Linked DNA regions of Macaca fascicularis. Each later gene encodes a partner of the first gene's protein in a complex. Links are inferred from orthologs where the notes say so. Each region holds a gene or a part of one and is shown in the gene's direction. Other genes may lie near its edges.

Region 1 (4,034 bases):
TAGCACCACTAGTATTGCACATATTACACTATATTACGGTTTAAAATGTCTACTTCTTCAACTGAACTAAAGCTCTTTAGAGTAGCTATATGGGCCCTAACCTGACTGGTGTCCTACTAGGAAGAGAAAATTAGGACACAGCCATGTACAAAGGAAAGACCACGTGAAGACACAAGGAGAAGAAGGTCATCTACAAGCCAAGGACAGAGGGCTCTATAGAAAGTAACCCTACCAACCTCAACCTCAGACTTCTAGCCTCCAGAATTACAAGAAAAGAAATTTCTGTTGTTTAAGCCACCCAGTCTGTGGCATTTTGTTATGGCAACCCTAGCAAACAATATACGAAGCCTAACTCTTCAAGTTTTTCTCCAGCAGGGAATCTGAATTATTTCTTTTAAGCTTTTAGTAGCTATTGTGTGGGCAACGATGGTTGCATGTGCATGTTAAAGTTGTTAGAAAACTAAATTTATGCCAGGTCAGAGACTTGTATAACAAAACCACTAATGGGGACTCATCAGCTCATCACTTAGCAGCTACAAAGGAGTAGTTCATGCTTAGCAGTTTGTGGCATTTCACAAAGAAGTGAAAGGCCCTTTGCATGTCTATGACCCTCATCAACAATTTTCTTTTTGAGGTAAAGAAAGCTGATCATCGAAAAGGCATAACAGATGTTTTAGGGGTTGGTGATGACGGTGGCATATGAAGAAAAACACGTATTCTCAACAATATTGCCAATAGAATCCAGCAATACATTTAAAAGGATAATATATTATGACCAAGTAGCATTTATACCATAGAAGCAAAATTGGTTTGGCATTCAAAAGTCAGTCAATCACATTTGCACTGAGGTTATCATAGCTGACAAGCACCGTCTCTGTGGCTTCAGCTCCTGGCTGCAGGCCGCTGATGGAGGTCCAGAAGGTCAGCTGCTCACAGACATCAGCTGCGGCTCCAGCATTTTCCGCAGGCTGCAGCCTCTGGGTTTCAAGCTTTTCATTTCCCAGTCTGCAAACGGGTTAGTCCCGAGCAGGAAGCAACTCCTTCTCCAGCCGGGAGGTGGCGGCCTGCGGTCGATGACGCCTCCGGGGTCCTTGGGCTCAAGGTTCCGTTTGGGGGCGCTCTCGTCCGGCTTGCGGGCTGCCCTTCTCCACAGACGGAACCGTCTGGCGGCGCCGCTGGTTTCTGCGGGGTTTGCAAACAGAGCGTACCGGGCCCTTCCGGTCTTCCGTACAGGTTCCTCCAGTTGGTTGGGCTGCGGAGGGAAGGCTCCCCGGTAAAGCACTGGGGGAGGGAAGCGACGTCGGAGAGCTACGGTTTCCTCCGGCGGTCTCCGACCCTCGCCCCATATATTCCCAGAGCTCGGGTCTGACCCGGGCCTTACCGGGCACCCCGGAAAGGCGGGGGTAATAGTACAGATGGAGACGCAACTGCAGAGCATTTTCGAAGAGGTGGTGGTGAGTGCAGCTGCCGGCCATCCAGGACTACGGCTCGGGGACGGGTAGACGCGGGGGCAGCAGACCAAGGAAGCTGGCCCGGGCAACTTCGTCTCACGCTTCCCTTTTTATTCTCTTGTTTTGACATCGAGGTTGTGTGCGGGGAGGTTTAGTGATTCTCAAACTGCTGTCAAGTTCATTGTATCCTTTGAAATCGATACAGTGACAGGCCCGACAGGTATTGATAGTTTCAGAGCTGATTAAGGTGACTTGTCCTGTGTTACATTGTAATACTTGGCTAAGGGAGGCGCCTTTTAAAAATTAACATTGTTTACATTTTGTTTGTTTGTTTTTTTTTTACAGAAAACGGAAGTTATAGAAGAGGCTTTTCCTGGGTGAGTGTATGCGTGGCGGATTTTTGTGTTTTCATGTGATTGTATCTGTCAGATTTTACTTAGTTTCGTGTTGGAAGGTTCTAAGATCCACTATTCTGATTGTGTGTAATTACCTTTTTAAAACGAATGACAAATAATGTAATTTTTATTTTTTTAGCATGTTTATGGATACTCCTGAAGATGAGAAAACAAAACTAATTAGCTGTTTGGGTGCCTTCAGACAGTTTTGGGGTGGTCTTTCTCAGGTGAGCACTTCATTTTTAATACATTCAGCTGATGATTTTTGCCCCCTTCTTTTTTTTTTTTTCCTTTAACATTTACTTTGATGTTGCTCTTAAGATCTTCCTGAGAAGGAAGAAATAAAATTGTCATCATTTTTTATTCTGGCTTACGTTTGTTTTAATTTGTATATTTCGGTGGAAAACCTATGTTGAGAAGTCAAGTTGATACTGCACAGTGTGCAACGTTAAAAAGAAAAAAACTCCCCTATGTTAGATTAATTAAGATCATTTTCATCCTATTCGGATTTATTTGGTACACTTGAAAACAGATGTGTTAAGCTTTACTTGTCAAAGATACACATTCCATTTGTTTTACTTAATAAAGGAATTGGCACAGCATTGATACAAAGATGCTACAATAGGAATACCAAGATTCTATAATAACGATAGGAAGATATTATAGTAAAAATGAGGAAACAAACTGTAAAAGTAACAAAGAACAGCTACCAGAAAATGTATCCGTAAAAAAGACAAAATGTGTCATCCTCGAAGAGCTCACATTCCAGTAGTGCCTTACCTTCTCATGGTGTATTATGGGTAGGGAAATGAGAACTGTGTGTCAGCCACTGGTGATAAGATTTGCCACTCCAGACATGGATCATATACTGCTAATACAGTCATGTTTTAACCTTTTGTTTAATTATTTTCTAATAGGTAATACATTCATATGGTTCAAAATGCACAGGTATAAAAAGGGTGGATCCAATAACTAGTCTCTCTCTTCTCTTACCTGTTCTTTTTTCTGTCTCTAGCCAATATCCTCAAGTTATGTTTTCTTCTAGAAGTATTTTATGCGTATAGAAACACTTTTATAGCATGATCATATACCATGTACACTGTTAATTAATTAGCACTTTTTTCCTCCTAATAATAATCTAAAGGTAATTCCCTATCAGTCCAAGAGTTACTTGTTCCTTCCTTTCTTGTTATTTTTTATTTTTTTAATTAATTAATTTATTTATTATTATTATACTTTAAGTTCTAGGGTACATGTGCACAACGTGCAGGTTTGTTACATATGTATACTTGTGCCATGTTGGTGTGCTGCACCCATCAACTCGTCATTTACATCAAGTATAACTCCCAATGCAATCTCTCCCCCCTCCCCCCTCCCCATGATAGGCCCCGGTGTGTGATGTCCCCCTTCCCGAGTCCAAGTGATCTCATTGTTCAGTTCCCACCTATGAGTGAGAACATGCAGTGTTTGGTTTTCTGTTCTTGTGATAGTCTGCTGAGAATGATGGTTTCCAGCTGCATCCATGTCCCTACAAGGGACACAAACTCATCCTTTTTTATGGCTGCATAGTATTCCATGGTGTATATGTGCCACATTTTCTTAATCCAGTCTGTCACTGATGGACATTTGGGTTGATTCCAAGTCTTTGCTATTGTGAATAGTGCCGCAATAAACATATGTGTGCATGTGTCTTTATAGCAGCATGATTTATAATCCTTTGGGTATATACCCAGTAATGGGATGGCTGGGTCATATGGTACATCTAGTTCTAGATCCTTGAGGAATCGCCATACTGTTTTCCATAATGGTTGAACTAGTTTACAATCCCACCAACAGTGTAAAAGTGTTCCTTTTTCTCCACATCCTCTCCAGCACCTGTTGTTTCCTGACTTTTTAATGATCGCCATTCTAACTGGTGTGAGATGGTATCTCATTGTGGTTTTGATTTGCATTTCTCTGATGGCCAGTGATGATGAGCATTTTTTCATGTGTCTGTTGTCTGTATGAATGTCTTCTTTTGAGAAATGTCTGTTCATATCCTTTGCCCACTTTTTGATGGGGTTGTTTTTTTCTTGTAAATTTGTTTGAGTTCTTTGTAGGTTCTGGATATTAGCCCTTTGTCAGATGAGTAGATTGCAAAAATGTTCTCCCATTCTGTAGGTTGCCTGTTCACTCTGATGGTAGTTTC
Region 2 (4,099 bases), on another chromosome or scaffold:
CTTCTAAGATTATTTTTGCTTGCTAGTGGGTTTACTGTCATTTTTAACTACATCTAACCTACCTTTAAAAAGTGTATGGATGGGAGTGCCAGGTACAAAGACTTAGTTAGCATAAAGAAAACCACCAGTTACCTTGAAACATAAACAAAGGCCATTAATAATTTATGAGTCTGTTCCTTGCCCCTCAAGTTTCTAGCAGGCATGGAATCATTCCACAGGTCATGATTTCAGTTTGGTCTCTGTTCCTAAGGGGTGAAGGTCTTCTGAGGGCTGTGGATCCCAAACTCACCTGGCTCAGAGGCTCAAACAGCCTCTTTGTCCATCAAGCCAATTTAGACAGCATCCTGGGCATGAAAATCTTTTGTGCTGGCTTCAAGTGAAAATAGTTCACTGGGTCAAAAGTAGGCTGGTCCAAGACGCAGGATGGTCAATAAACGTTGGCTGTGTTCAGAAACTGCGGCTTGGCTGTTTCTTCCATTGATTTATGGTTTGTTTCCATGAAACCGAAAATGATTGGTCCACCTGGCAGCTGGCTGGCAACTGGAGGCCTTTCTGTCCTGGCTGAGGGCCCTGGCCCCTTGGTGGCCTTTGGGAAGCAGCATCTCATCGGGCCGGTTTTTCGTTCTGGCGGGCGGCCGGCTTGGCCCGCGGGGCTGGGCTCTCCGCGCAGTGCAGAGCCGTCTCCACCCTCAGGGACGAGGCCCTGATGTGGCGGGAGGTCGTTTCCGTGCGCTGCGAGGAGGATTCCACGTGCCGGGAGGACGCCTCGAGGATGCCAGGGAGCCGCTTCCCCAAGGGGGAGAGGGAGGGCCCCTCGCTGCGGCGCTGGGAGGTCTCCACCCGCCGGGACGACGTCTCCACGCGGTGGGACGAGGTCTCCACGCGGACTGTGGACGTCTCTGTGTAGCGGGTGGTCCCCACCCGGGGAGAAGACTGCTTGGCCCCTCGGGCTGAGGCCATTCTGCCGGCGTGAGGGGGCCAAGGAGGCCTCGGGGCACCCCCCAGCCCAACGGTCACCGCAGGCAGAAGAGAGGAAAACTACGGTACTGCCATAGCCGGGAGCGCCACAACACGATGACGTGGAAACACCATGATCCTTCCAAGGCTAAAAACACTGGGCTCCTGCCCCTCAGGCGCTCCCACGGCCCGGGCCCCGCCCGCTCGCTATTTTGAAGCCAGCGCGGGTGGAGCCATCCCAGGGCTGGCGGGATGGGCGGAGCCGCCCGGCCCCATATCCCACAGTGCCCCGGGACCGGAAGAGAGAGCCGTGGTTTCCGGAACTTCCCCCGCCACTCTGGGCTTTTGCTCGGTCAGGCTGGTGGCGTTTTGGTGTCTTCGTTTGTTATGGCCGCTGCCGTCGCTATGGAGACAGGTGAGTAGCTCTCTGATCTTGGAGTCTTCGCAGATGGAACTCCCCTCGGTCCAGACGGCTTCCCCGTGGCCTCCTTCCAGGCCTTAATCTCGGCAGGGTTAATATTTGGACAAGGAGGTGAGAAGGCTCTTGTAGCTTCTAGAAAGACTAAGGTACTCTTTGCAGTTTTCCTAATTTGGTTTGTTCGCACATCTTTGCTATTCAGACACCACCCTACCAGCTCCCCGGCGTGGGTGAGACTAAGGGAGAGGACTTGTGTGTTAAACCGTCTCCTCCTTGATTGGTTTTCTGCTTCTCACATGAGCTTGCCTAAGTTTGAAATATCGTCGCCGGACTTTATGTGTCATTCTGCTACTGGTGCTTCTTATATGCATACGCTCCATGATCTTTTAGGCTCTACGCAGTCTCTTGCATCCTAACTTTTTCTTAACTGATTCAGCACGTAGCTTTTGCAAAACTTAATCACTGTTAACAATTGTTATAACGCATTATTAACATAGGGGAAGCCATAGTTGTTACAGCCTACCTTAGTGATCTTAGGAATTCTCCGTTTGTGTTGCTGCTTTCTTTGATGATTTCTCTTTAATTTTAGAGAAACTTCTAACTCCTTTTAATCAGGGCTCCGCTTTTCTTAGATTTCGAAGAAAGGTTTATCTCCCCCAACTCCCAGTTTAGGAAGACCATCTCGGCATTAGTCAGGTTTCTTTATTGCTGTTTCCTTACTGCAAATCAGTATTATATACAGTGACCCTTACTTTCCATGATTTTTGCTGTCTTGTCTCCTAGATGATGCTGGAAATCGACTTCGGTTTCAGTTGGAGTTGGAATTTGTGCAATGTTTAGCCAACCCAAATTACCTTAATTGTAAGTTGTTAAGCACCTCATTAAATTGAGTAGCTACTAATGATTTCTGACAGAAGAGTTGCAATTCAAAATAGTATCTACTTTTACACATTCTCAATTGAATGATATTACACTTATGCTGGTATATAGATATAATTGCGCACTGGGATTTGTGTTTTGAATTCAATGTGTGTTGGTGGTGGGGGTTTTATGTAAATAGATCCTTTACATTAGGGGTAACAAAGCATAGTTTAAAGATTGGTTTGACCTACAGACATTTTTTTTTTTAATGCTTTTCAGTTCTTGCCCAAAGAGGTTACTTCAAAGACAAAGCTTTTGTTAATTATCTTAAATACTTGCTTTACTGGAAAGACCCAGAATATGCCAAGTATCTAAAGTAAGTTTAATTTTTATAATCCTAAGCATGTGTATACTTTATGATATGATAGATTTCTTCGTTTCACATTGGCAAAAATGTATTTGGAATCTCTCCACTTCTTTTCGTTGTCACCATCTTAACACAAGACAGTCTCATCTCTAACTTGTATCACTGCAGTAATCTACTCCCTGGTTATCTCTGCTTCCACTTTTACCTTCCTGCCCCCCCTCCACCCCAAACCAAACCAAGCAAAACAGCTTTCTACACAGAAACCAACTTAGTCATTTAAAAATATAAATCAGAACACTTTACTTTCTTGCTTAGAACCTTTCCATGACTTTCCATACCATGCAGAATAAAATCCAGTCTCTTTTCTTGGGCTAAAGCCCTATATGATCTGGCCCTGCCTTGTCTGACCTTGTCTTTCACCACCCTCCCCATCTCACCAGGTTTCTGGTCCCGAAGAACTCACAGTCTGTAAATGAAGTGACATAAGCCATGGGCTGAAATTAAAAGAGGGTATCTGTAAGGAAGGTGTTTCTGGGGTTATTTGGAGGAGGTGATCTTAACCTGAGTCTTAGAGTTGCTATCTTTTATTTAAGGCCTCTTATGTGCCAGAAACAGTGCTAAATGCTTCATATGCATTAACTCATTTATATATATATATATATATATTTACCATTCAGGTCATTCAGCGACACTTTCGTGTTAAGGCTTACTGAATTGCAAGAAGCATATAACCACAAACCTATTCCCTTTTAATGATTAAAAAAAAAAAAAAAAAACAACACCTTGAACTCATCCCTGCTTTGTGTTAAGCAGGTAGAAAGCAATAGTGAACCTTAAAAAAAAAAAAGTTTGAGAGGAAAATGTTTCAAACTTGTTTCGAAGTCACTTTTCTGTGTCCAATAACAATTGACTCACGAAGCATATACATCTTATATTGCCTGCAGGACCCTTTGCACCTTTTCTGGCTTTTTATCCATTTAATAATCCAAAGAAAAGACTTTTAAGAAAAATAGATTTCAACAAATGTTGTATGTATGTAGATTTACAGACTCAGTGTTGGAAGCCTCAGCCACCAACACGTTTAATCTTACCCACAGCGTTGCCGAGAGATGGTCACCTACCCTCTGGAGGTTTTCACTGAGCCCATGTTACTCTGTCAGGGACAGCTGATTTGACTGTTAGCCAGATGGTAGAAAGTTATTCCTTATATTGTGATATAATGTCTCTCCTTGTAGCTCTAGTCTGATTGTAGTGTTATCCTTCATCTATCTGCAGTCACATGAAGTCTATTTGTCCCACTACTGGTGACATTAATTTTGATAACTTGGTTGTCCCTGGATTGAGCTAGAACCATTCTATACCCTCTTGAGGACAACAACCTTCCAGATACTTACATTCAAGAGAGATTGCAGATTAGCCCCTTTTGGGCATTTTATTCAGTCTGCAGAAGATTTTAGTTTTGTTTTTTTTTTTAATACTTGCCAACATTTGAAGAT
Region 3 (4,028 bases), on another chromosome or scaffold:
GTGGCCGGATCTCAGCTCACTGCAAGCTCCGCCTCCCGGATTTACACCATTCTCCTGCCTCAGCCTCCCGAGTAGCTGGGACTACAGGCGCCTGCCACCTTGCCCGGCTAGTTTCTTGTATTTTTTAGTAGAGACGGGGTTTCACCGTGTTAGCCAGGATAGTCTCGATCTCCTGACCTCGTGATCCGCCCATCTCGGCCTCCCAAAGTGCTGGGATTACAGGCTTGAGCCACCGCGCAGGGCCGCTATGAGTGAGTTTATTTAACACGAATTTCTGAAAGACTTGTCAACTCTGGGTGCCCAGGAGTCAAGTTTAGCACCTCCAAAAAGAGCAGAGGATGAGACCATGAAATGAAAGGACCACAGGTACGACTGCCTCATGGGAGTCAGGCAGTCCCCGACCGTCTTTTATAATAATGTAGACCATTATGTGATTCCCTCAAAGTCTTAAAAACCACTTCATAGAAGCTTCTCATTGCTGCTTGAAAAACATCATGCCCAGGGCCGGGCACGGTGGCTCACGTCTATAATCTCAGCACTTTGGGAGGCCGAGGTGGGCAGATCTATTGAAGTCAGGAGTTCGAGACCAGCCTCGCCAACATAGCGAAACCCTGTCTGTACTAAAAATACAAAAATTAGCCGGGCGAGGTGGCACACGCCTGTAATCTTAGCTATTCGGTAGACTGAGGCAGGAGAATATCTTGAACCCGAGAGGCGGAGGTTGTAGTCAGCCGAGATTGCGACAATGCACTCCAGTCTGGGCAACAGAGCGAGACTCGTCTCAAAAAAAGAGGAAAGACGGAAGGAAGGAAGGAAGGAAGGAAGGAAGGAAGGAAGGAAGGAAGGAAGGAAGGAAGGAAGGGAGGGAGGGAGGGAGGGAGGGAGGGAGGGAGGGAGGGAGGGAAAGAAAGAAAGAAAAAACAAAACATTAGGCCCAGGAGAATCAGACTGCGGAAGGAAGGAAAAGAAAGAAAAAACAAAACATTAGGCCCAGGAGAATCAGACTGCATTGCACTCCCTGTTCTCAGTTCAGCCCTTGCTCCCAGGGTTTGGACCCAAAAGCCCTCGCTGGCCCAGCAGATGGCGCCGGTGCCCGCAGTGCGCCCCTCCGGGCGCAAAGGGGGCGCCCTCGCCGGGCCTCTTCTTCCTCTCCTGGATGACTCTTCCGCCTTCCGAGCCCGCCTCCTCGCCACGCCCCTGCGTCAGCGCGCTCAGCGCGTGCGCCGGCGGCGGGGCTGTGAGGAAAATGGCTGCGTCTTCGAGTGGTGAGAAGGAGAAAGAGAGGCTGGGAGGCGGCTTGGGAGTGGCAAGTGGTAACAGCACACGAGAGCGGCTACTGTCTGCGCTTGAGGATTTGGAGGTCCTGTCTAGGTAATGCTGCGATCCTGAGAGCCGGGCTGGAGCTAGGCCGGGGGACTGACCCCCGGAGCCGGCCGGCCCAGCGTTTGTGCTCGTTCTCGGGGTTCGGCGGGGAGGGCCAGCTCGGGAGTTTCGGGTGCACCAGGGTCACGGACGTGGGGTCCGCAGTCTTCCAGCACTCTGGACGGCGGTTTTTCCCGTTAGAGGGAATTTTAGTAATGATAAGAACTCGCGCGGTCTGAGCCCCTTCGTCCACAGCCAGCCACTTAACATTTATGGAACGCCCCTTGGGTGCCAAGCACTAGGGAGACAGTAGTGCAGGGTAGGCTGAATGCCGGCTGTCGAGAGAGAGAGACAGATGTGTAAACTGCCTTGAAGCCTGTTTTTATTAGAGCGCTGCGCTGCGGGGTACTGGAGCACAGGGGCTAGGCACCTTTTCTGGTTGTAATCAGGGCAGGCCCTCTGAAGAAACGGCTGTTTGGGAAGCGTGAGCTTGCCAGACTCACTAGGCAGCACAGGTAGATGGAACAGCAAGTGCAAAAAGCCTGGCTTGGTGGAGTTGCAAGTTTTGTATCAGAGATAGGAGATGAAATTAAATGTCATTCTTTATATTCTGTCACCTTTCATGATAAGTCAAGTTGAAGCCTTCCTTGACTCCCTCCCATTGACGTGGATGGTAAATTATCTTGGTTCTACCTCCTAAAATGTTGCTCACATTTGTCCTCTCGTTCCTACCCCACTGTTCATAACTACTCTTAAATGCAGCCTCCCAGTTTTAATTGCCTCATGCTTCTGCACTGTATCCTTTTATATTGGCCAAGATCAGTTTTAAAAGGCATGTTATATTACTTTTCTGCAGAAAAATGATATAAAACCTACCTCATTGGTAGATTTGCGTTGTCCAGTGAGGTAAAGTTCAAATTCTTTAGTCAGGCTTCCACATCTTCAATGCCATTCCCAATCTTCCCCCGATTTGGTGAATGATTCATATATCCTTCAGATTCCAGCCCAAATGTCACTTTTTCTGTAGCCAACATTCTTTGACAACTTTAGAATAAATCTTATCTGTTGTATTTTAAAATATACCTGATATAATCAGCACTTTATCTTTGGTGTAAATTTAGTCCTTGCCATAGTATTGCTACCAAGTTACCAGGTCAGCACAATATTTAATGATGGAAGAAAACCCTAAAACAAATAGACTCCAGAAATTAAATGACTTATGTGTTTGATCCACTGTTTAAAATAAACTGTATTATGGCCGGGTGTGGTGGCTCACGCCTGTAATCCCAACACTTTGGGAGGCCGAGGCGAGCGGATCATTGGAATTTCTTCACAGAATGAAGCTGCTCTGGTGGTGTGACTGGCTTCCAGAAAAGTCTCATGTGCTCACTCAGACATAGTTATGTGTGCTGATTCTGTGATCTGTGTAATTTGTCAGTCTCTGAATGTAATTTGTGTCTGGCTTGCATTTATGGAAATGAGAAGAAAATTCACGAATGTACCTTACATATTTTTAGGTTGAGCCTCTTGGCTTTAAAAAATAGTGGATTTATAACTTAGGATCTTTTTTTTTTTTCTATTAACCTGATTATGTACCCTTTCAGGATATTTATTACTTTGTAAAATGTAATGCAAGGAGACAGTCTTAAACAATTGAAACACAGGTTGTAGTCTAAACGTTTTTCTTAACCCGTTTGTAACTGAAAACTCACGGAATCATGTTGATAGGAGTCTTGAGGTTTCCACACCAGCCTGTTAATTCTCTTTACCTGAAAAGTGTATTACCACTAATAATGTAGGCTCTAACCCCTATGGAAATTTTATTTCTATGGGGAATTGTGGCTGGATTCTAATGCAGTATGCCAGGAATGCACCTTCCTTGTAGCAGGACAGGGCTCTTACTTCCACATCTTTAACCAGAGAGTGAGTATGGGCCTTCCTTTGGCCTCTTTTTCACAAATGGGGAGGACAGAGGTTTCTACTTCGTCTTGGACTGTTACAGAACATGACTAAGTCTTAGAGACTTCTACCTCCCCTCTACTCCTGTGTCAGAGACTTCTACCTCACCTGTACTCCTGTGCCTATGGCAAGCCTTGTAAAGCCTTCTGTGGACTCATACTCCCAGATTTGCAAGAACAGAGGAAGGCTTATCCCACATCTCCTACCATAGCCCCACTCCAGTCAGCACCACCCCTGCCCCACCTGAAACCAGCTTTTACTTAGACTAGAGGTTCTCAACAGTTTGTGTCTCAGTGGCATACACGAAAAAGTTTACGTAACATGCTGTTTTCATACACTGTTGATCCATCAGCAAGTCCTGATAGCTCTACCTCCAAAAGATATCTGAAATCTGTCTATGTTTCTCCCATCACCATTACTAAGTCCTGGAGGCTATGACCTAGTCAAAACCAGTCATTTTTTGCCTGGAACACTACAAAAACCACCTGTTCTGGCCCTTTTACAGTCTATTTACCAAATCGCTCAGCAGTTTTTAAAAGTGTAAATCAGGTCATGCCTTTTCCCTGTTTAAAATGATCCAGTGGCTTTTCATTGAATATGGAACGAAACATTAATCTTTACCATAACTGTAAGGTCCTACATAATCTTACCCCTAGCCACCTGGCTGCTATATCCTCACTTTGCTTTCCTCTCCCCAGTGTACCTCC

Evidence for each region. Proteins that work in one complex are often made in the same cells at the same time.
Region 2: MED23 (region 1) and MED31 share a complex: the UniProt entries of both Homo sapiens proteins name them as parts of the mediator complex. The link is inferred for Macaca fascicularis from reciprocal best matches to the Homo sapiens genes MED23 and MED31.
Region 3: MED23 (region 1) and MED4 share a complex: the UniProt entries of both Homo sapiens proteins name them as parts of the mediator complex. The link is inferred for Macaca fascicularis from reciprocal best matches to the Homo sapiens genes MED23 and MED4.

Annotation. Positions count from the first base shown.
Region 1 is NC_088378.1:35,602,943-35,606,976, reverse strand, and holds the start of MED23 (mediator of RNA polymerase II transcription subunit 23), read left to right. Parts: upstream 1-1,227; 5' UTR 1,228-1,415; coding exon 1,416-1,454; exon of another isoform or gene 1,455-1,671; intron 1,672-1,796; coding exon 1,797-1,828; intron 1,829-1,985; coding exon 1,986-2,073; intron 2,074-4,034. UniProt on the Homo sapiens protein: Required for transcriptional activation subsequent to the assembly of the pre-initiation complex. Component of the Mediator complex, a coactivator involved in the regulated transcription of nearly all RNA polymerase II-dependent genes.
Region 2 is NC_088390.1:6,692,428-6,696,526, reverse strand, and holds the start of MED31 (mediator of RNA polymerase II transcription subunit 31), read left to right. Parts: upstream 1-1,291; 5' UTR 1,292-1,344; coding exon 1,345-1,372; intron 1,373-2,158; coding exon 2,159-2,236; intron 2,237-2,515; coding exon 2,516-2,612; intron 2,613-4,099. Other genes in the region: C16H17orf100 (uncharacterized protein C17orf100 homolog), read right to left, coding at 604-960. UniProt on the Homo sapiens protein: Component of the Mediator complex, a coactivator involved in the regulated transcription of nearly all RNA polymerase II-dependent genes.
Region 3 is NC_088391.1:27,212,676-27,216,703, reverse strand, and holds the start of MED4 (mediator of RNA polymerase II transcription subunit 4), read left to right. Parts: upstream 1-1,220; 5' UTR 1,221-1,246; coding exon 1,247-1,371; intron 1,372-4,028. UniProt on the Homo sapiens protein: Component of the Mediator complex, a coactivator involved in the regulated transcription of nearly all RNA polymerase II-dependent genes.